Linked DNA regions of Stegostoma tigrinum. The protein of the gene in region 2 interacts with the protein of the main gene of each other region in a biochemical or structural test. Links are inferred from orthologs where the notes say so. Each region holds a gene or a part of one and is shown on either strand. Other genes may lie near its edges.

Region 1 (11,236 bases), on a different chromosome or scaffold from region 2:
TCGTGTAAGGAATATTGTTACCCCCTAAGAGTGGACACCGGAAGAAGTTGGGTTGGAAGGAATAAGGAAGATGATCAAAGATGATGTTAACGATGATGCAGAAAAAGGAAAATGACATGGCTGAGAGGCTGATATGTATACGCGCGGAGAAATTAATATGGATGTTGGAGGATTGCAGCACAGTGATCCCAGAATGATTAAGATCAAGATGAGCTGATATGGAAGTTGGAATCACCAAGATTGAGAACATGGTGTGGGCTAAGTGCATGTTGAATTCTCAGGATTTGACAGGAGGAGAGACAGGAGTCAAATAATTGTGTCGCTGAACAAGTAGAAAAAACAGTTGATTCTGTTTACTGGAATAGGGTGCAGGCCAAAGGTCAAAGGAACAGAAGTAACATTTGCCCAAACTGCAGCTACTCAGGGTTCAAACAGTGAGCTATTCATTAACAAAGTGCAAATGGATGATCCAACTCACGTGATGTACAAGCTAAACATTCTGAACAGTCTCTGTTACAACATCAACCACCAAATAAATGAATGGTACTTACAAATCTGATGAAGGCAGATGTAGGTTGGATGATGAAAGTGGAAAAGCATTTATGATGCTGTGTATTAAGTAAACAGAAGTGGGACAAATTGAATTTTGATCATAATTGTCAATAAATGGTTTGTGTCAGAGCTGTAGTGGTATAAACTAATCAGTTGAAAAAGCTCTGCACCATTCTCTATAATGGTTCTCCATCATACAGAACCCTTTTAGGCTCCTTAGAAAGGAATGGTCTGATTCTCAGCCATTAGCATCACAGTTAGTTTCGATACTTTGGGAAACCCATAAGTTTGTATATTGGGTTGGTTAGCTGAGTTAGCTGGCTGATTGTTTGCAGTGCCCAGAGATACTAACAGTATGGATTCGATTCCTGCACACGCTGAGGTTACCATGAATCAGAGAATCTCTACAATGTGGGAGCAGACCATTTGGCCCATTGAGTTCATGCTGTCCGTCCAAAGAGGATCCCACCCAGTCTCACCCCCTACCATATCCCTGTAACCTTGCATTTCCCATAGCCTGCACATACCCTTGACACAATGGGCAATTTAGCATGGCCAATCCAACGAACCTGCACATTTTTGGACTGTGGGAGGAAACTGAAGCACCCAGACAAAAACACACACATTGACAGAATGTGGAAACACCACACAGACACAGTTGCCAGAGGGTGTCATCGAATATGGGTCCCTTGCACTGTGAGGGAGCAATGCTAACTACTGAGCACTATGCCGATTCTCCTTCTCAACCTCTCCCTTTGCCTGTGGCACGGTGAACCTCATGTTAAGCCACCAACAGTTGTCACTCTCCAACAAGAGAGACAGAATGGGACTGTGGTGACTTTACGCAGGAGTCAGCTGGGTGGAATGAATGGTCTTCCTCAGTTTGATTTTTCATAAGACAGAACTGATTATTTTAAAAGAGGAAAGAAAGCTCCAATTAGACTTTATTTTAGAATTGAAAGTATTATAGATTCTTATGGAGTTAACTCATCTAAAAGAGATTTTCTTTGAAATGCATCAATTATCTTGCCAACTGGAGATCCTTAGATATTCCTTGATGGCGAATTATGACAGCCGTACTCGGTTATCTCGTCTATATCCAAGTTTTGAACGGAGTGTGCAACTATGTTTCTGTGGCTCAATCTCTGGTGTCCAAGTTACTTTAGGAACTATGTTCCACTTCAACTTTGGACATCCACACCTGCTTGTTTAAAATAAAAAAGTTAACCATTCTTAAATCATTTGGCTTTGTGATCGGATTGTGCTGCAGCCAAAGCACGTTAATTTATCGTTATATATTGTATCACCTATGACGTCTGATAAATTAGAAAGAAATCTAGTCACACTAATCCCTGGGTCACTCGGGTCCAACTTCCAAATGAATTTCTGAGCATATTTACAACCAGCATTACAACTGTATCATTTTCATCTGGCGGGGGGGGGGGGGGGGGGGGCGCGGGTAAGCTTCTAGTATCATTCTAAGGTTTTCTGGGCATAGTTTTAAATTTCTGCAGCTTGATCCAATAAAACAGACCCTAGGCAAAGATTCAAAATGAAATATTAATGTGTTCTGCTAGAAAATGCTATGAATTTTTTTTGCTCATAGATACTGGTTATATTTTATATTGATGCTAGATATAACTGTTAATATTAACAGTCGAATTGCTATTATGTCATTGTCACAAATGGCTGTTCTGACTCTTAAAATGCAAATTCATCCTGCATTGTCAGATGTTGACTCAGTTGCAAGTGTTGCCCAACTTTAAGCCTGGAAGGTGCTGATTTAGGCCCCACTTCATAAATTTATGCACAGTTTCTATACTGTCACTCTCAGGATGTGCTATACAATTGGAGATGCTGGAAATGAGATGTTGAACTGAAGGCCAGTCTGCACTTTTAGCCATTCTGAAGGACAGACAGGAAGTTTCCCTGTATCCTGGCCAATAATTATCTCCCTATTAACATCACAAAAAGGAAAGTAAACTGGTCAATTTTAGTGTTGTGCCAAAGTTTGTTTGGAACATCACCACATTTCCTACATTAAAACTGTGACTATTCCTAAAAGCAAACTAAAAAAAGGCTGTTGACCATGCAGCACCGGTTGAGATTATGAGCCTTTCTTTTCACCCCGCAATCTGCCTGATGAGCATTACAGAAGAGTTTGGGGTTCCACATTCTACTCCTCCACGGTGCATTATAATTAATCCTCATCTTTACTTGAAGCCGCAGACTTAACAGACACAGCTATAAATTCCATTACAAGCAATCTTCACTAAATCCTAGTTATTGCTGATTTCGATGATTTAAAGTGAAAGGCATCAAGGATTGCTTCCCAACTATACACAGCAGGATCTATTGTTTTCTACAATGTTCACATTAAAAATGGAATCGCCTACACCTAAAAGCAGTTACGTTAAAAACAAAACATCTAATATTTTACAAAAGCAAAATACTCCAGAAATCTGAAGTGAAAAACTGGAAAATGCTGGAAATACTCAAAACTGCCCTGATGAAAGGTCACAGACTTGAAATGCTAATGCGTGTTCCCTCTTCATGAATGCAGAGAATTTGCAACATTTTATGACTAACGGTTGTCTAAGGCCTGAATAAAATGCTACACTGCAGGTCTTTATAAACATTAATTTTCAGCACTTAGATTTTTTGGTGCCCTTATCTAGCTTGTGAAGCTATCATTTTGTAGATCAGTATCCAAACAGCTTAATGCTCCCAGTTCGCTCTTGGTATCAGCACAAATTATTTGAAATGATCAATGTTCTGCCTCTCTTCGGGGCAGCTGTTCGGGTAAACATAAAAATCAGCATATTAAGTCTCCCTGTTTTAAAATACTCCCTCTGAGATGCAGTCAGTCTGCAGCAGACTAGAAACGTACAACTGCAGTCTGGCAGTGAGCCAACAACTAGAACAATAACCTTGACTATTCTAAATGATAACCAGCAAGGAAAAAAGCTGACTCCATTATCATGTTTTCAGCATATTGTTACAATAGCCCTATTAATAACGGTTAAGAATGGTACCTTGTTTATTTATTTAACCGATTTTCTCTATTTTGCTCCTCTTCCCAAGTTTATGCAATGGTGAGAACTGGGTGGGGCATGTTAGTAGCAACCACGAAGCAGAGACTCACCCCCCCCACACAATTCTTCCCGTCTCCACTGCGTCTCTTTGTCCAAATTTCTGTCTTCAGTAAGAGACAGGGAAGGGAAATGCTACACTGTTATGTTGTTCAAAACTTTTCACATCCAGCATATGCACCCAAGACAGATAATGAGCAATTTAAAATAAAATCACACTGTAGGAAATGCACCATGGGATCTTATCCTTGCACTGTGCCACCACCCCTTTTCCAACCAATTTCCCATTCCTTTGGTAGAATGTTTATATATCTGTCAATTTAGCCAAACTCGTCACAGTACTTCTAGTTCTTCAATGACTGCAATTTTTTAAAGGCAGCAAAATGTGCGTTTTACTTAAGCTGGAATTTTTCTGCAAACAGATTTTGAACTTACTGTAAAGTCAAAATCTACAAGCTGTTATTAATCTCTGAAGGACAAGAACAATGTTCCTGTTTATTTTTGAATTCGGCAAATAATGCAGGCTTTGTGTGCCTAATGCCTTACTCATTTCTTGACGCAAGGTGGAGCAGCTACATCGATTTACAATGATGTGCCCAAACTGTAAACAATGAGACAAAGTGTAAACAATGACACTGGACTACGCTGTGGAATTCCTTGGGGCAACAACTGAAGTAAGACGTTTCTTTAGACTAATTAGAGTATCACAGGCCTGTACATGCATTCTGCGGTCTTACCTCGAGTATTAATGGCAGAGAGCTCACAATAACTTGCCAAATTAGTTATAAGTACACGCCAAATGTTAAGATTCGTCAACTCAGTTCCTAACTTTAGGATAGAAAACGGTTATTGCAACTCCGGCTCTGATTGATAAGACGTAAGTTATATAACAGGATGCCATTTACATCAATTCCTTCAAATATATAAAAATTAATATCAACATATCATCTGCAATATATTTCAGCCTGTTCCTTTTTTTTACTTTTTAAAGTTTAATTGCTCCAGTGTCAATTTGACCACCAATGCTATAGGCAATAAATTTACTGTCGGCTACGTCTAACACTGCATTGCTAATCATTCAGTGCACTCTTTAATGTTTTAGAACAATATATTTCCAAATAGGATCGTTCAATTAAAAGAAAACTTGCATTGTTTAAAATAAGATATCCTTTTTGATGCAATACCAGTCAACAGTCCCCTCCCAAACTATTAGCAATTGTAAAATAAATGCTTTCTTGTGTCCTACCTTGCATAGAGATCTGTCCCTGCTCTTGATCTCCGCTTCGCGCAGCAGTCCTGGACCTTTTTATCCTGGTACTCAAGGTTACATTTACATTTTTGTTGAGTCACCAATACGCAATGTTGAATAGCTTTCTGGGACTTTCTGGAAAAATCGACATGGACTGTCTCATCCCGATGGAAAATAAAACCCGAATGACTAGAATCCAAACGCTTAGTGCCAATGCTGCGAAGATCCAGCAGTGGGCAACACGACACAGGCTTATAAAGCGTGAAGCGACCTGGGGCGTCTTCCACAAACAGCAGGGCGTTGTATTGTGTTTCTCAGTCAATTACCTTTCATCATCATCGCTTCTTAGAGCGTTTATGTGACTCAAAGGCAGAGGAAATCACTTAAATCAGGTTAAATGACTAGTAGAAATGTAGATCCTGATCATGATGAGTTTTAGTTTTATAAACTTGCCGGGAATTGTTGAGAAATATTATCTTCTAATGTTGACAAGCATGAAGAGAACCAGGCATTGAAAAATTTTTTTTTCACGTTAGTTTCGAAAGGATGAGTTTTGCATATACGTCTCTTTACACTTTATGTATTGCTAGAGTTTTCTTTCCAATAAGGCTGAAAGAAACTTTGAACGATGACTTTTGCATACTTTGAAAGCTCTGATCAGAACGTTTAATGTAAAGTGATGTTTTTAACCCCCTGTCATTTTCAAATGCATTTGTTTACAATTAGCGTCCCCCCACTGCGGTTACCGTGCAAACTGGCAACATGGTCGCTGCTTCCCTGGAAATATTTGAGTGCAATGAGCCAAGGTCACGGTTCTCCAAACGTGAAACATATCGCCTGGGCAAAAACGTCCAGCCTTTTTTTCAAAAAGTGAGGATGTTTATTTAGGCTCCAGAACAAGTAAGATTAGTGCAAGATTTTAGTTGCAGTCTGCGTTTCTCAGACATGTTTTCATGAAGGAAAGTTAGCCGACAGCTAGGTATGTAATCATGACGTACTTTGAAAACCAAAAAAGTCTGTTAACTTTTTTAAAATGTATAAATAAAACGATCATAATTAAATCTGTACTTCAGACTATTTAGTGTTTTTTTGCAACAGATTGCCCGTCTTCGTCGTTCAGTGCTTATGTTCATTTCAACGTTATCTTGAACCTTTATTGAATTACAGGAAGTTCTTGTCTGGCTAACTCTCCAAGGAAGGTTTTTTCATGGTGAGATGCAACAGGCGTTTATTGCAGATAGAGTATAATAACAGAACATGAAAGGTTAGTATTTTATCTCCGTTTCATTTTGCTGAAAAGTTTGGGCACGCAGCATTTTCTTTCATTACTCGTTTTTCATCATTGCAGCTCTATTAATGTGGTCAGCATTAAAATGCATATGTTTATATTTTATTTGCATGTCTCTGCGCTCTTATTCTTGTTGCAAGTACAGCCCAAGACGTTTTACAGCAGCCAAGTGCTTATGTTAGAATGTTGGATTAAGTTTGATTGTTACCCTATTATGTCATCATTGTTGCTGTCGGATTGTATTAATCATTTTCAGAACAATTTCTACTGTAGCGCAGTTATTGAGAAACAAGATGATTTGTCATGTAATTTTTAATGCAATGTCTGTTTGTAATTGTTAAAACATTGTGCATATAATATTTGTGAATAGCATTGAGGATGGAGCATTCTTGTCAAAGAAATTGCACTAATCAATTAAATGTGTCATTTTAACACTAAAGCAACTCCTTTTCCTAAATAATCCAAATAACTAGTGGAATGTAATCATTTAATAACTAGTAGATTAGAACATATAGCTGCAGTTAGACAAAGCCTTGCTTAGATCACAGCTGGACCACTGTCTACAGTTCTTGGCGTCCCATCTTGGAAAATATACATTGTTCTGGGAACCAGTGCATTTTAGATACACCAGGATATTACCAGGAGTTAAACAATTAAATTACGAGGAGAGATTTACAGCAACTTGAGTCACCGAAGGGTTACAATACAGACAGTGGTCATTTGACCTGCTGTGTGTGGGCTGGCTATTTGTAGAGGAAATCACATTATCCTATTCCTTCACATGTATCCCTACTTCTGTGATTTTTGTTTTATGTTTCAGGTGTTTTTCTCAAACCCTTTCTGAATTATACAGTTATATACCACAATTATACTTGCTTCATCTATACTTTCAGAAATTCAACTAGGCTTGTGCTCTCTGGCATCAAAAAGTAATTTGATTAAGGATTTTAATATTTTGAACATAATTGGTAAGATAGGCAGAAATAAACTTTAAAGTTTAAAGGTCTGTAGCTCGAGTTGTGGGTGAGGTTGTTGACTTGCTCACCGAACTGGCTTGATTTTGTTCAGATGTTTCATTGCCGTGCTGGGTAACACCATCAGTGGATCCTCCGCTGAAGTGATATTGTTCTACTCCGCTTGGAATTTATACTGTCCGGCTTGGCATGGTGAGCACTGTCATTTCTGGTTTTGATCTGTACATATAGAAACCCATACAGATCAAAACCGGAAATGACAGCACTCACCATAATGGACTGGACAGTATAAGTTCCAAATGGAGTAGAATAACATCAGTTCATTGGAGGCTCCACTGATGATGTCACCTAGCATGGCGACGAAACATCTGAACAAAACAAACCAGCTCGGCGAGCAAGTCGACTACCTCAGAAATAAACGTTTTCTGCTGGTGGGAGGATAAGAACACAGGAGCAGGAGTAGGCCATACCCTGCTCTGCCATTCTCTATCATGGCTGATCACCTGCCTCAACACTATTTTCCTGCACCATCCCCCTAGTCTTTGATATCATTAATATGTAGAATTCCATCTATCTCAATTTTGAACATTGAGCTTCTGAAGGTCTCTTGCACAGATAATTCAAAAGATTCACCACTGTCTGAGTGAAGATGTTCCTTCTCACTTCTGTAATAAATGGCATGTCTCTTATTTTGAGATTGTGACCTTTGGTTCGAGAGCACCCACCAGCCAGAGGGAACATCCTTTCTGCCTCTAATTTGTCTATCTCTTTATGAGTGCTTTAAGTTTCAGTGTAATAAACTCTCCATCTTCTAAATTGTAGAAAATAGAATCCCAGCTCCTGAATTGCCTCATAGACTAATCATCCCATATTTTAGTCAAGTGAACCTCCATTGCATTACCTCTGTGGCAGGTATGTCCTCCTTTAGCTAACAGAACAAAACTCCACACACTTCTTCAGGTTGGGTCTTATGAAGGTTCTATACTATTGAATCCTGTACTCCTATCCTGTTCAGATAAAGGTCAATATACCATTTGCCTTCCTGATTGCTTGTTGCACATACATGTTTGCTTTAAGTGATTTGTTAACAAGGAAACACAGTTCTTATTAAATATGAACATTTCCCAATCTCACACCATTTAGTAAATACATTAGACATTTCTCAAGCTCACACAATTTAACAAATACACTGTTCACTACTGTTCCTCCTACCAACATGGTAAATCTTGCGCATATCCACATTATCGTCTGTCTGTCATATTCTTGCCCACTCACTCAGCCTGTCCAAAACCAAGTGAAACCTCTTCGCAACATTCTCATGTAACACATTCCCGCCTACTTTGTGGTATCCACAAACTTGAATACGTTACTTTTGCTCCAGACATACAACATTGATATAGAACAGGAAAAGCTGTGGTTCAAACACTAATCCATGCAACACCTCACTAGGACCTTACAGCCTACTCACCTGAGAATGACCTATTTATTCCTACTGTTTTCTTCCAGTTCATAATACCGCAACCTATGCCAGAACACTAACCCTCATCCCATGAGTTCTAATTTTGTTTACTAACTTCTTGTCTGAGTCTTTTATAGAAAGTCATCTGAAAACCCAAAAATACCACATCTCATGGTTTCCGCTTATCTACTCATTAGAAACATGTTAAAACAGATTTGTCAAATGTTATATCCCCTTCATAAATCTATATTGGCTTACTTCAATCAAATCATTATTTTCTAGGTGTCCATTTATCACATCCTTTGTTACAGATTCTGGTATTTTTCAACAGCTGACATTGGGCTAACTGGAGTTTTATCCCTTCTTCCATTGTCGAAATAGTAGTTACATTTGCCACCTTGCAACCTGCAAACACAGTCCCAAACCAATAGAATTTTGAAAGATGATCACCTTTACAATCCACCATCTCTGTGGCCATCTCTATCAACGTTCTAGGATGTAGGTTTTATGGGTCCCTAGGATTTGCCAACTTTCAGTGTCACTAATTCCTCCAGTACTATTTCTTACAAAAGCTAGATTCTTTCCATTAACATCTTGGATCTATTATTTCTGAGATTTCTTTCGTCTTGTCCACAAAGATAGACACAGTAATTATTTATCTTCTTGTCATTTCCTTATTCCCCATTATACATTTTCCGGTGTCTGCCTGTAATAAATTCACCTTTGCTTTTGATAATCTTCTTTTTACATACCTAGAGGAGTTTTGAGTTTTTTTGATAGGTTTCTTGCTGATTTACATTCACATTCTAATCTCCTATTCTGTGCCAAGTTGTTGATAATCTTTTGACAAATTCTAAATTGCCCCTAATCTTCAGGCTTGCTACATTTTGGTAACTTGATCTGCCTTCTCCTTTGGTCTAATATATTCTTTAAGCATAGTTGTTAGCCATGGATATTTTGCTCTTCCTGTTGAATTTCTATGCTTTAAAGCAATGTATGTTATAAACAATGCATAAGTTCATTAAATACTAACTACAGTATTTCCCCAATCCACCCCAAGTAAATTTGCACCTCATACGTTTGTAGTTTTCCTTGTTTACTTTTAAGGTCTTAGTTTTGGATTTTTTTCTTAAAAATCAAATTCAACATTTAGGAGAAATGCATCTTCTGTCAAGGACGGTAAATATGTGGAACTCTGTCCCAACAACAGCAATAGATGCTGACTCAATTAATAATGTGAAATCTACGATCCAGGCAGGAGTTTGATTTATTGTTGTCACATGTACGGAGATACAATGGAAAATGTTGTTTTGCGTGCTATGCAGGCAGATTGTAGCATATAAAAGTACATCAGGGTAGCAGGGCAGAGTGCAGTATATAATGTTATAGCCACACAGAAGGTACAGAGAGAGAGATTAACATTTAAGAGGTCTGATTATGGAGTGCAATGACATAAGTGTAGGTCGCTGCAGTTTGGGTGCAGGTTCAAAGTGATCTATTTGAATGACCAAACAAGCTTGAAGGGCTGAGCAAGTGCGGCTGTTCCAGCGTTTCAAGGTGCTGAGCCCAGGTTACATCCGAACAAATCCGAGGAAGCAGTTGAGAGCACAATTTCTTGTAGAATTTTTGATCTGCAAAAGATCCTACCACATTTGCGTGGTGAATATCAGGTGTTTCTGCAATTAAGAGGTCCCAACTAGAAACAGAATATTTGTGAATTTCGGTGAGACAGGCGTGACCTTGGTAGTAATGCTCCTTCAATCGTATAACCCTACCAGTACTCATCAACTAGGTATTCAAGCTAAGCTGATAGTTGTTGTGTATTACACCAGCACATGCTCAACTGCAGACAAATGTTACTGAACTTACTTTATTTACACATCCCAACAGTGAGGGAAATATAATAAAACACTGACATCTAGCCTTTTATACATTCACTTCTCATTTGAATAGAGCTTGTACCATTTTATATTTTAATATGTATGTTTCTAGAATTGCCCATGATTAAACTAGCATTGATAATACTGAAACTTTAAGCTTGGGTTGCTACTTATTTTTACTAATCACAAGTACTAATCAAACGCACATATGAGCAATGCTACTGAATTGATTTCACAGTTTTAAAAAATACCTAACGCTAGTGTGTTTTTGACAAAATGTTATCATATAGCAAGAAATAATGAAAACAATAACTTCTTCCTCGCGGATAAGAGATAATGGGAACTGCAGATGCTGGAGAATTCCAAGATAATAAAATGTGAGGCTGGATGAACACAGCAGGCCAAGCAGCATCTCAGGAGCACAAAAGCTTATTTGTGCTCCTGAGATGCTGCTTGGCCTGCTGTGTTCATCCAGCCTCACATTTTATTAACTTCTTCCTCGCGATATACTTGCAATCTAATTGGCTACTTTCTCTTGCCGTTTGGAATCTCCTGCCATTTCCATTATCCTGATTCTACTTTCTTAACATTTCTGACTGTGTTAAACCTGACTTTTGACTACCAGCTGAAATTAATGATGGGGACTGTGATATAGATTGATTTGGAAGATCCTTGCCAGCTTTTTATTGGGCAGTACGATGCTGGAAATCCTTCAGTTCCTTTCTGTCTTTCACTTGAGACT
Region 2 (11,099 bases):
GTTGGAGGATGAAGCATTGTCCTTTTGCAAGGGAAAATTTATTCACTTACTAGATATTTCAAGCAGTAAAATAAATTAAGGTCACCTAACACCAACGAAACAGATTGTAAGTGATTGGAGAGAGGCTGCTGAATATTTGGAACAATCCACCAGGAATAGTAGTATAAGAAAACTTTATCAAATAAATGAAGGAAGTTGATACACAACAGAGAATTGAGGAATTTAAGGATATATTCGATCCAACTGTATGCTTTAATATAACTTTGATCAGATAGTTTGAAATAGTTTCCACATTTGATCTTTCTAAATATCGTATAATTGCTTTAATGTATTGAATGTTTCAATTTATTGGAGGAAGAAGTTCTTTCTTCTGTGATAACGGTCCTCCAGAAGTCAAACCCTTCAATTTCAGACCTCTTTGACAAGACAACTGGATCTTTGTTTCTTTTGAATAAAACGAATGGGTCTTTTTATTTTAGGATTTGACCTAAAGTATTGTGTCAGTTTACATATGCATAAGCAAACTGACACAGTCCAAATGTGAGTCTAATTGTAACCGGGATATTGTTTCATTGAATTTAGAGAACACTTGGCCTTAACCCAGATGGAGGAGTCCATTTGGGAATAGCTATCTGAAAAAAAACTGTGCTGAGCCCAATAAAATCATTTTAAAGAGGAAGTCGTTCAGGTGCAAATTTTTGCAATGTGTTAATGAAATCAACCAACGATTCCATTGTGCCCAGTAAAAGAGTTTTATTTTCAAGAACTGATACTGAAAATTATAAGCAATACTACAATGAAAAAAATAAATGAAATAAAAAGCTTACATGAGACGTGGAAGTCAGTCACTCCAGAAGCATTTCATCAGGTGATTTTTTTTTCTCTGATCACCTAAATTATTGAAGTAATTTTGCTATCTGCTTTTACATCATGTTTCAAATTTTAAAACATCAATTCATCAGTGGGAGTGCTATGGAAAATGCAGAAAAGCGGCAATTTGAGGTTAACTGAAGTTGGAGCCTAAGATAGAACATAGAACATAGAACATTACAACACAGTACAGGCCCTTCGGCCCTTGATGTTGTGCCGACCTGTCACACTGATCTCAAGCCCATCTAACCTTCACGATTCCACGTACATCCATATGCTTATCCAATGACGACTTAAATGTACCTAAAGTTGGCGAATCTACTACCATTGCAGGCAAAGCGTTCCATTCCCTTACTACTCTCTGAGTAAAGTAACTACCTCTGACATCTGTCCTATATCTTTCACCCCTCAATTTAAAGCTATGCCCCCTCGTGCTCGCCATCACCATCCTAGGAAAAAGGCTCTCCCTATCCACCCTATCTAACCCTCTGATTATTTTATATGTCTCAATTAAGTCACCTCTCAACCTTCTTCTCTCTAATGAAAACAGCCTCAAGTCCCTCAGCCTTTCCTCATAAGACCTTCCCTCCATACCAGGCAACATCCGAGTAAACCTCTGCACCCTTTCCAAAGTTTCCACATTCTTCTTATAATGCGGTGACCAGAACTGTACACAATATTCCAAGATAACCAATCCCAAATCAAGCTCCACAGTCCTGAGCTCCGACTGCATTAATATCAGGCTCTGTACACCAGCGCCTAGTCAGAAAACATTACACAAACTTTCACTGAACAATTCATTCAAATGAGTTATTCTATTCAGGGGCAATGACCCTTCACAATTCGTTTTAAAAAAACCCTCACGCCTTCCCGTCGCACTAAAACAGAAGCAGCCATGTGTTGACATATCTTAGAAATCTTAATCCGCTCGCCAGCCAAACAAACAATGTTTACTGCAAAACCCTAAACACCAGAAAACAATGGTAAAAAGAGGGTTAGATTGGCTTAGTTTGGAGTTAATGTGAGTGATTGAGCCAATTAAATCATGAACAAAATAAAAACTCTTGAAATGCGGAAGAATCAGATTCATTTTCACTTACATCTGCCATCCCTTATAAATAATTCAGGAATAAAACAAAAGTATAAACATTCGGACATTAACTGTGCTGCGACAAAACAGAATGACGATTGCTTTTTGTTTATGGTAAGTTTGTGGTGACGTTCCCATTTTTTAAAAAAAAGAATGCTTTGTAATTTATGATGTTTCAATTTCCAAGAGAAAAACTCGACGGAAACCCAAATGTGGCTTTGATGGACTGAGGCGCAAAATGAAAAAAAACATACTTTAGTCCTTTCTAAACCATCCGCAAGTCGAAAGCTATTCATCGTGGCCCAGTGATTTTTCCTCTAAAACAAAATGATAATTTTAACGAGCACTAAATTCGAAATTAGAAGGGGGTGAGGAAATGTAAACCATACTTATCGTAAACATAGATCAGAAGGGATTAAGAATGTTTCCACCTAAATTTAAGTGAGGCATTAACTGTTAACATAAGGACGTCCTTGAAATGACCTCGTCATTAACTGGATTTGACTGCATTTATTTACCGGTATATGGGTTTTAACTCAAATTAAAATCCAAACATGTTATGAGGATGTCTATTCTCCTTAAGAAAATGTGAGCTAAAGCTTTCTAGAGACACTGATGATCATGATCACCAGTCAAACCGGTCTCTGCCTCCCTAACCTGTTCTTCCTCTCACCCATCCCTTCCTCCCACCCCAAACCGCACCTCCATCTCCTAACTACTAACCTCATCCCACCTCTTTGACCTGTCCGTCTTCCCTGGAGTGACCTGTCCCCTCCCTACCTCCCCACCTATACTCTCCTCTCCACCTATCTTCTTTTCTCTCCATCTTCGGTCCGCCTCCCCCTCTCTCCCTATTTATTCCAGAACCCTCTCCCCATCCCCCTCTCTGATGAAGGGTCTAGGCCCGAAACGTCAGCTTTTGTGCTCCTGAGATGCTGCTGGGCCTGCTGTGTTCATCCAGCCTCACATTTCATTATCGATGATCAGGTTTCTTAGCTCTTATAATTGACAACACCACTAACATCTTTAGTTAACTGCTGTGCCTCCATAACACTTGCATTTATATCGCACTTTACGGAATGCTGAATGCCTTAATTTTACGACCATTTGTTGAGGTGCTGTCACTGTTGTAGCTGTTGCTGATCAACCTGTTCAGATGGGGTATGGTCATACCGCTGGAGCAGTTGGGACTTGAACACTGACCTGGCAGAGAGCTGGGGACATTACCAGTGCACCACAAGAGTGTCTGATTTACTGTTGTAATCTGGGTGCAGTGAGACATTGGCAGGCCCTTCAAAGGAGCACCAGGGACACATTCTAACGCCCAGGCACATAAGGAGATTTCAGGACAGATAACCAAAAGCTTGATCAGAATGGATTTTTAAAGAGTCTCGCAAGAGTTTGAGAGGTGAGAGATTTTGCAGGGAATTCCAGCGTTTAGGATCAAGAAAATTAAAACCAGCGACGCACAAGAGACCCGAATCAGACGGAGGGCAGTTATATCAAGATAGAGATGGACAAGCCCGTGGGTGAAAATTTTTTTTAAAAAGGATAAGAACTTTGAAAGGTGACCTTACTAAACTGAAAGTCCTTGTAGGTCAGTAAACACAGGGATAACGTGTGAATGGGACTTAGTCCACGTTGGGGAATTAAAGACTCTCTACAGTGCGGAAACAGGCCATTCGGCCCAATACATCCACACTCCCCTTCCGAAGAGCATCCCATCCAGATCCCTTAGCCTATAACCATGTATTGCCCATGTCTAATCCACACATCTCTGAACACTATAGGATGTTGGCCATCTTTGTGAGAGTGGGAGCAAAGCGGACCATCCCGTGGGGATCACGCAGACACAGGGAGAATGTGCAAACTCCACACAGACAAAAATCGACTAAGTGTAGGACCGAACCTGGGTCCTTTGCGCTGAGGCAATGCTGCTCACCACTAATCTACTTCGGAAGTAATCAGTCTATCTTGGTTTCCCGCTGTTAATAATTCACTGCTTTCATAAACTTATTGATTTGGACTTCGTTAGAAGACCATCAAAATTTAACCTAGCCCCGCGCAACCTGTAATGCGTTGATTTTATGTAATATCTACAATTACATGAGAAAGTTAGTGAACTGGATAAGCGTGCCCATAAATAACTGAATGTCACATGATTTAGAAATCATTCTGAACGCTTAACAGAGATAACGGTACATAAATTTACCATTTGAATTGAATGGCAATTGCCTAAATTTCTCACTTTATTAATTTGTCTTCCAACTTATCCCGGAAGATTTCATTGTGAGGTGCAAACACAAAAGTCCGCATATATTTTACTATTGTTCTTTAAAGGACATCATTTACTTCAAAGGGATTGTTGGCACAATGTATATAGTTACTTAACAGAGAGAGGTGTATTCATTTAAGAGGCACTAAAAGTAGTCTCGCCAACCAGGCCGTCCTGCTGATGTATTGCAGCTGTCGTCCCGTCCTCACTTCGCTAAACCTGTTTATGACAATTTGATGAGACAGTGGACTTCGGTATTTGCTGAAACTCAAATTTAAAAATTCTAGAAAATGCATATATGAAATAAGTTTGGAAAGTTTTATACAAACTGTTCGCTCCGCACGTTCCCCTGCTCGCTGAATTGCGCATTCGCTGTGGCACTCGTCACTCCCACCCCCCACCCCAATGCGATCTGGCATGTGCTTGTATTAACAACAATCTATTTTGAAATGTAAACTCATATTTGTCTAGTATCTTGATGTGAAATATTCACTGTCCCATTTGGATCACTGTAGCTAGCACATTGCCTAACCCGAGTATAACATTAATTGATTTGATTTGAAATGTATCAAATATGAGAGCAAGTTGTTAGAGATGGGCCAGCACCAGTACGATCTATAGGGTCCTCCGGGCTTTAAACAGTTGGAGGAATACATGCTTTAAAGTCCACAAATTGACTGGGGACTATAGAATCGACGTATTTTCCTTCTTTATGGAAGCCTTGGGCGATTTTCAAAGACACATCTATAATAAAGAAAGTACAGACTTTCGTTGTTACTGTTGCCAATCACATTTTGCGTTATCCTTTGGTTCCCTCTTCCTGGGGCAGCACTGGGATTAGTCGCTTTATCACCAACCTCATAAAGAAACGCAGCTGGTTACGTTTGGTCAGTCTGACACTTGCTGTGAAACCACGACAAGAATTTCATCAAGTTGGCAACAATAAAACAAAAGAGCAACAAAAGAAAGCAAAGCCTAATGGAAGTTTTGAGACGTCTTTTTCTTCAAAGAAAAAAAAGGCTTTCGGGTCCATTCTGGCAAACTAAGCGATGGCTCGAGGTTCTTTTGGAGGGGGTGGGGGGGGGGGGTAGTTTGACTGATGATGAAGGGTGTGGGCTGTTTTGTTCTTTGTGGTGGGGATGTGTCAGGAAACTCATTGAATATGCTGATCTGCCCCTCGTGCTGTTATGTAGTGCAGCGCCAAGGCTTGACCCCGGTGCTGTGCCGTACCAACACCGAGCCGCCCTGAGCATGAATAGTCCCCCTGCGGTCGCTTGCATCACCAGACTTAGAAATAACGAAATCCAAGTATGCCTCTTGTGATAACGAGCAAATAGGCATCACAATTGGCAGAATCGTAAAATAATCGCACACATACACACACAATTAACAGTGCAAGTTAGTGACACGTAGCCAGTTGACCAAAAGCAATGTAAAATATAAACAATTCACTGCCGATAAGAAGTTGTGTTATCTAAATGGGGAGTGGGCAGTGATAAATATCACAGTAAATGTGCAATTCAGCGAGCAGCGGAACATGCAGAGCGAACAGTTTGTGTAAAACTTTCCTAACTTATTTCATAAATGCATTTTCTGGAATGAAAGTGCTTTCGTATTTGAATTTCACAACATACCAAAGTCAACTGTCTCGTTTAGAAAATCGAAATGAAGTGCAAGGATTTCTCTAGGTGGCTGTGCCAGTTTGTTTCTCCTAACCTATTGTTTGTCAGTACTGTGCTAATAACGGTTTAGTAGGGCATGCAGACATCTCCCTGTTAGAGGACTGGTGCTGAGTTATGCTGCTTCCGGGGCCTGGGTGCAGAGAACCTTAGTGCTGAACGGTTTTAGTGCAAACGCAATGTCCAAACTCTCGAACACGCCTTTTCCCAACTAGCATCAGGAGGAGGGAAAAAAGACAGCTCGGAGACCTACATCAACCAGGTTCCACAACCTTTACTTGCAAAGCCAGCTTCACCAGGAGCAGGGGAAGACTTCAAAACAAGGCTGCAGCATGGTCGGCCAGACGTTCTCACTTTTTCTTCTGGGAACTTTGCTTATAGTTCATTGTAGTTCAGAAGGTAAGAAGGTGCATAAGTTTGCCAACTTCTTATTTTTGGATATTTATTACAGCTATTCTGGTGAAGTGAATGATGAGTGTAATTTTATTCAATACGTTATTTAGATTTTTTTAAGAAATGCACTTTGTACATTTCTAGCATTACTTTTGTTGGAGTACAGCCTTTGGTATTTAAGAGATTTAGATATCAATTAATTTCAGATTGTTCTGGAATACAATATTAACTAGTAAGTTTAAAATAGTTTAACAGGGAAGAAAATAGCTAAGTTTAACAATTAGTTAGCACTCAAACTAACAGCTTTTCAAATTTACATCTACTAAAGAAATGAGCGAAAAGTACCAGGTAAAAACGCACGTTGATGGGAACCGTACGGCAAAATTCCGCCATTGACAATAAGCCGCATCGGTTCAACGGAAGTTCACGATTTTTCTAAAATAGTTTTGTAACAGAAAGAAACGATGTAATACGTTCAATTTCGACAAGATGATCCATGCATCAGGTGAAAGGTTTTACTGTATTTCAGCACAATTTGATTCTGTAAACTGATATTTTCTCTGCTGCACAAAGTTCCACTCAGCAGAAGATTTGCAATTTCTTCCTGGCGAACTTTTAGTGAGTTCCCTTGTTGCTAGGTAACATCGTTGCGCATGTGACTAGCAGACATAGCGAATCTGTTAATTGGTCTAGTGCCATTAAGTTGACTTCCAGATCCCTTTTCTACACAGTGTTGGCGAATTCATCACTCACTTTGCTCCAACCACGGTTACGTTACAGTGTGACTTCACGTCCCTTAATTGTGCAGGGAGACGTTGGAAATATTCTCAGAGCACCGTGTCTTGGGCACTGCCGCAACACTGTTGTGCGGTTCTCAAACTGCTCCATCTCTAATCTCTTTCCATGGCCAGTGTAATCTCCTTACAGTAAATCAAGTAACTAATTATACTACAGCCGCTCGAGAAAAGCAGACATCCTGTTTCAGAATGCTGTTCTGTGTAATGCTGAGTTAATATTCTTTATTCTGACTAAAGGGTTAACTTCTTTGGAAGGCAATTGCTTTAAATTACCCCTTATTTTAAGGAAGAACTTTTACTGTGCTCGGAAAGTACCTGCTCAAGTTTTATTTTGTTCCGGGCGGTAACCACGCAATCTTTAATTGACATGATTGTATGTTGTTTCCAGGATTGCAATAATTGGATTTCAAATACGTGTATGGGGTCACATTTAATGCAGATGCATCATTTTTCAGGTTTCTTGAATTTTGCAGATTATCAAAGCTGAGCCTCGATTATGCACATTTGATGGATGTCAGTTTCTCACGCACATATCAAAATTTGTTTTTGCTAAGTAAAATCACAAACTCAAGTAAAAAATTACTGCTGATCTTGGAGGGTGATATGTATAAAAATATATACCTTTTCCAATATTTTCTATTACTGACCCACAGCTTGAGTTCTTCACAAACCATCCAGCTGCACATCAGATTTCAGGATACTAGAGTTATGCTGTTGCTTGTGACTGGAAACAAGTTTGAAATTCCTTTTTGTATGCCTTGGTTTCTCCCCACCAATATTCACTTGGGTCAAGATCTTGAACTGGTTTTAGAGTAATACTGTAATTTTTACATTATTGCAAAGTAGACCCCACTTTGAAATAATGCAGGTGCCATTGTTTACATAAGGTATCTCAATCTAAATGCAAGACAGAAATATGCTATTTTCTTTATTACTTCAAATCAAGCAAGGCTAAAACATTTTTTACTCTAATTTGGCAGTTAAGTAGCAATACATGCATACCACATTAATGATAGATATTGTAGAATGATTGCAAAACAGCAAACCTGTAAAAAGCAGAAAAAAAGAACTGCAGATGTTGAAAATCAGAAACAATTAGAAATCTCTCTCTCTCTCTCTGGTCTCCATCTAATTATTGTTTACTGCTTCTCCTCTCCCACCCCTTCTCTACCATGTATTACCAATCATCCTCGCTACAGTCAGTTCCAAAGAAGTGTTCCTAGACCCGAAACATTAACTCTGCTTTCTCTCCACAGATGCTGCCAGAGCTGTTGAGTCTTTACAGCAATTTCAGATTTTGTAGCAATCACTAAGACATTGACTTGATATTTTAACATCTTTATAATCATACTTTGACCCTGCAATGATATTAAAACCTGAATATCTAGGTAACTTCATGAAATTTTAATATGCATACTATTTGATTCTTTGATTTTATTGGTAAGATAAATATATTGATAATATTATCCCTCACTCTTCTCAACTTTGGAGTATATAGTTCCAATCTCCTCTGTCATGCCTCTTAGGTTGGTTGCATCATTCCAGGAATTATCCTAATGATCCTTTGCTGCACTTTCCCTACTATACACCTCTATATTTGTACTCAAATCACCTTACAATAAAGATCATGTGCCTTCCTGATTGAAAGTTGGGGGGTGAGTGCGTGCGATGGTCTAGAGGTGTTATTGCAGACTGTTAATCTAGAGACCCAGACAGTGTGCAGCATAAGGTGCTGTTTGGCCTGCTGTCTTCATCCAGCTCTACACTTTGTTGTCTCAGATTCTCCAGCATCAGCAGTTCCTATTATCTCTAATGTTCTGGGGATCTGGGTTCAAATCTGACCATGGCAGATGGTGGAATTGAATTCAATAAATATCCAGAATTAAAAATCTGATGATGACCATGAATCCGTTGTCAATTGTTGGGGGGGGGGGGGGGGGCGGAAACCCATCTAGTTCACTAATGTCCTTTTAGGGAAGGATACTGCTATCCTTACCTGGTCTAGCCTACATGTGACTCCAGACCCACAGCAATGTGGTTGATTCATAACTGCCCTCTAGGCAATTAGGGATGGGCAATAAATGCTGGCCTGGCCAAAGACACCCTCCTCCCATGAATGATTAATGTAAGGCTAAGTTGCAGATTCAGCGGGCAGAGTCTTATGAACAATGACAGCCAGGTCCTTCTGGACAGCAATACTTACGAATCACTCAGCATTTAATAAATGTTCGGCACATCTCTTCTTCCTACCAAATTGGACAACTTAGTCACAGAGTCATAGAGCAGAGAAACAGACCTTTTAGTGTAAGTCATCCATGCTGATCAACTTTCCCAATCTAAACTAGTCCCATTTGACCAATATCCTTCCAAACCCTTCCTATTCATGCACCTGTCCGAATGTCTTTTTAAATGTTGTAACTGTACCTGCATCCACCATTTCCTGCAGCAGTTCATTCCACATATGAACTACCCTCTCTGTTTAAAAAGTTGCTCCTCAGGTCCCAGTTAAATCCTTCTCCTCTCACCTTAAAAATATGCCCCCTAGTTTTGAACTCCCCATCCAGGAGTATGATGGAATACTCTCACTTGCCTGAATGGGTTTAGCTTCAACAACACTCAAGACACTTGACACTATCCAGGTCAAAGCAGCCTGCTTGATTGGCACCACATCTACAAGCATTAACTCCCTCCACCATGGACTCTCAGTAGCAACGGTGTTTACTATTTACAAGATGCACTGCAGAAATTCACCAAAGATCCTCAGGCAGAACTTTACAAACCCATGGCCATTTAGAAGGACATGGGCAGGAAACATATGGGAACACGACCAGCTTCAAGTTCCCCTCCAGGTCACTCACCATCCTGACTGGGAAATATATTGTCGTTCCTTAACGGTCACTGAGTCAATACCCTGGAATTACCTCCCTTATAGCATTGTGGGTCAACCCACAGCAGGAGGACTGCAGCAGTTCAAGAAGGCAGCTCACCACCTTCTCAAGAACAACTAGGGATGGGCAGGAAATGCAGCTCAGCCAACCATGCCTACATCCCATAAATGATATTAAATAAATCTCATACAGAGTCTAGAAATTTCCCTTTCACAGCATTTGTGCTCATTAGATTTACCCAGACCATACATGGGGTTATATCAACAATGATAATTGCATTACCCTTGCCATGTGACCTGTCATTTCTAGATTTATGCCATGCCATTCGTGGCCTATAAACAATGCTTGATGCCCCTTGAAACCCTGTTACTTCATTTGACCCAACTAGATTCTACATTTTGTTCTTCTCTCAATACCAAATAAGAATCTCTCTCAGTAAGTTACTTTGATCCCATCTTTCATAACCTGCACTACTCCACCTTCTTTTCCCTTTTGCCTCACATTCCTAAATTCAAATTCTTGAATATTCAGATCCTAGCCTTGGATAACTTTCTGCCTTGTCTTTGAAAAGGAAATCATATCATACCCATTTACTTCATTGTTGATTGCTGTAAACCCATCTGGTTCACTATGTCCTTTAGAGAAGGAAACCTGCTGTACTTCCCCAGTCTTCTCTGTAGATGACTCTAGACCCACAGTAACACGGTTGACTTTTAGCTGACCTCTGAAACGGCCTAACAACCACTCAATTGTAGTGAAATGTCTGAAGGAATGAAACCACGTAGACTGCTTGACTTCAACCTCAGAACTGGAAACAAGAACCGAACACCCAGCTCTGTAAATCTGACAGAATCACCTTTACTCATGTCAGGGTCACAGCTTCACAATTGTAGGATTCCATTTAACACAATCACTACACCTCAAGAAATTCACAACATAGGAGATGTTTTGTGATGTGATAACACAGAAATGCAATTTCTCATGAAGTAAAACTCCTTAACATTAAATTATCCAATTGATATAGTATTGATTAAATAGCATCCATGATATATTTCCCCATTTAGGAACCCCTGAACTTCCACAGCCTTAAAGTCCACATTCATTTGC

Evidence for each region.
Region 1: the proteins of lrp2a (region 2) and clu form a complex in vitro, tested with the Homo sapiens proteins (3 studies listed by BioGRID). The link is inferred for Stegostoma tigrinum from reciprocal best matches to the Homo sapiens genes LRP2 and CLU.

Annotation. Positions count from the first base shown.
Region 1 is NC_081357.1:56,011,434-56,022,669, forward strand, and holds the start of clu (clusterin), read right to left. Parts: upstream 5,115-11,236; 5' UTR 4,891-5,114; intron 4,319-4,890; exon of another isoform or gene 4,198-4,318; intron 1-4,197. Other genes in the region: scara3 (scavenger receptor class A member 3), read left to right, coding at 6,151-6,157.
Region 2 is NC_081360.1:65,297,125-65,308,223, reverse strand, and holds the start of lrp2a (low-density lipoprotein receptor-related protein 2a), read left to right. Parts: upstream 1-6,210; 5' UTR 6,211-6,246; coding exon 6,247-6,313; intron 6,314-11,099. UniProt on the Homo sapiens protein: Multiligand endocytic receptor. Acts together with CUBN to mediate endocytosis of high-density lipoproteins. Mediates receptor-mediated uptake of polybasic drugs such as aprotinin, aminoglycosides and polymyxin B.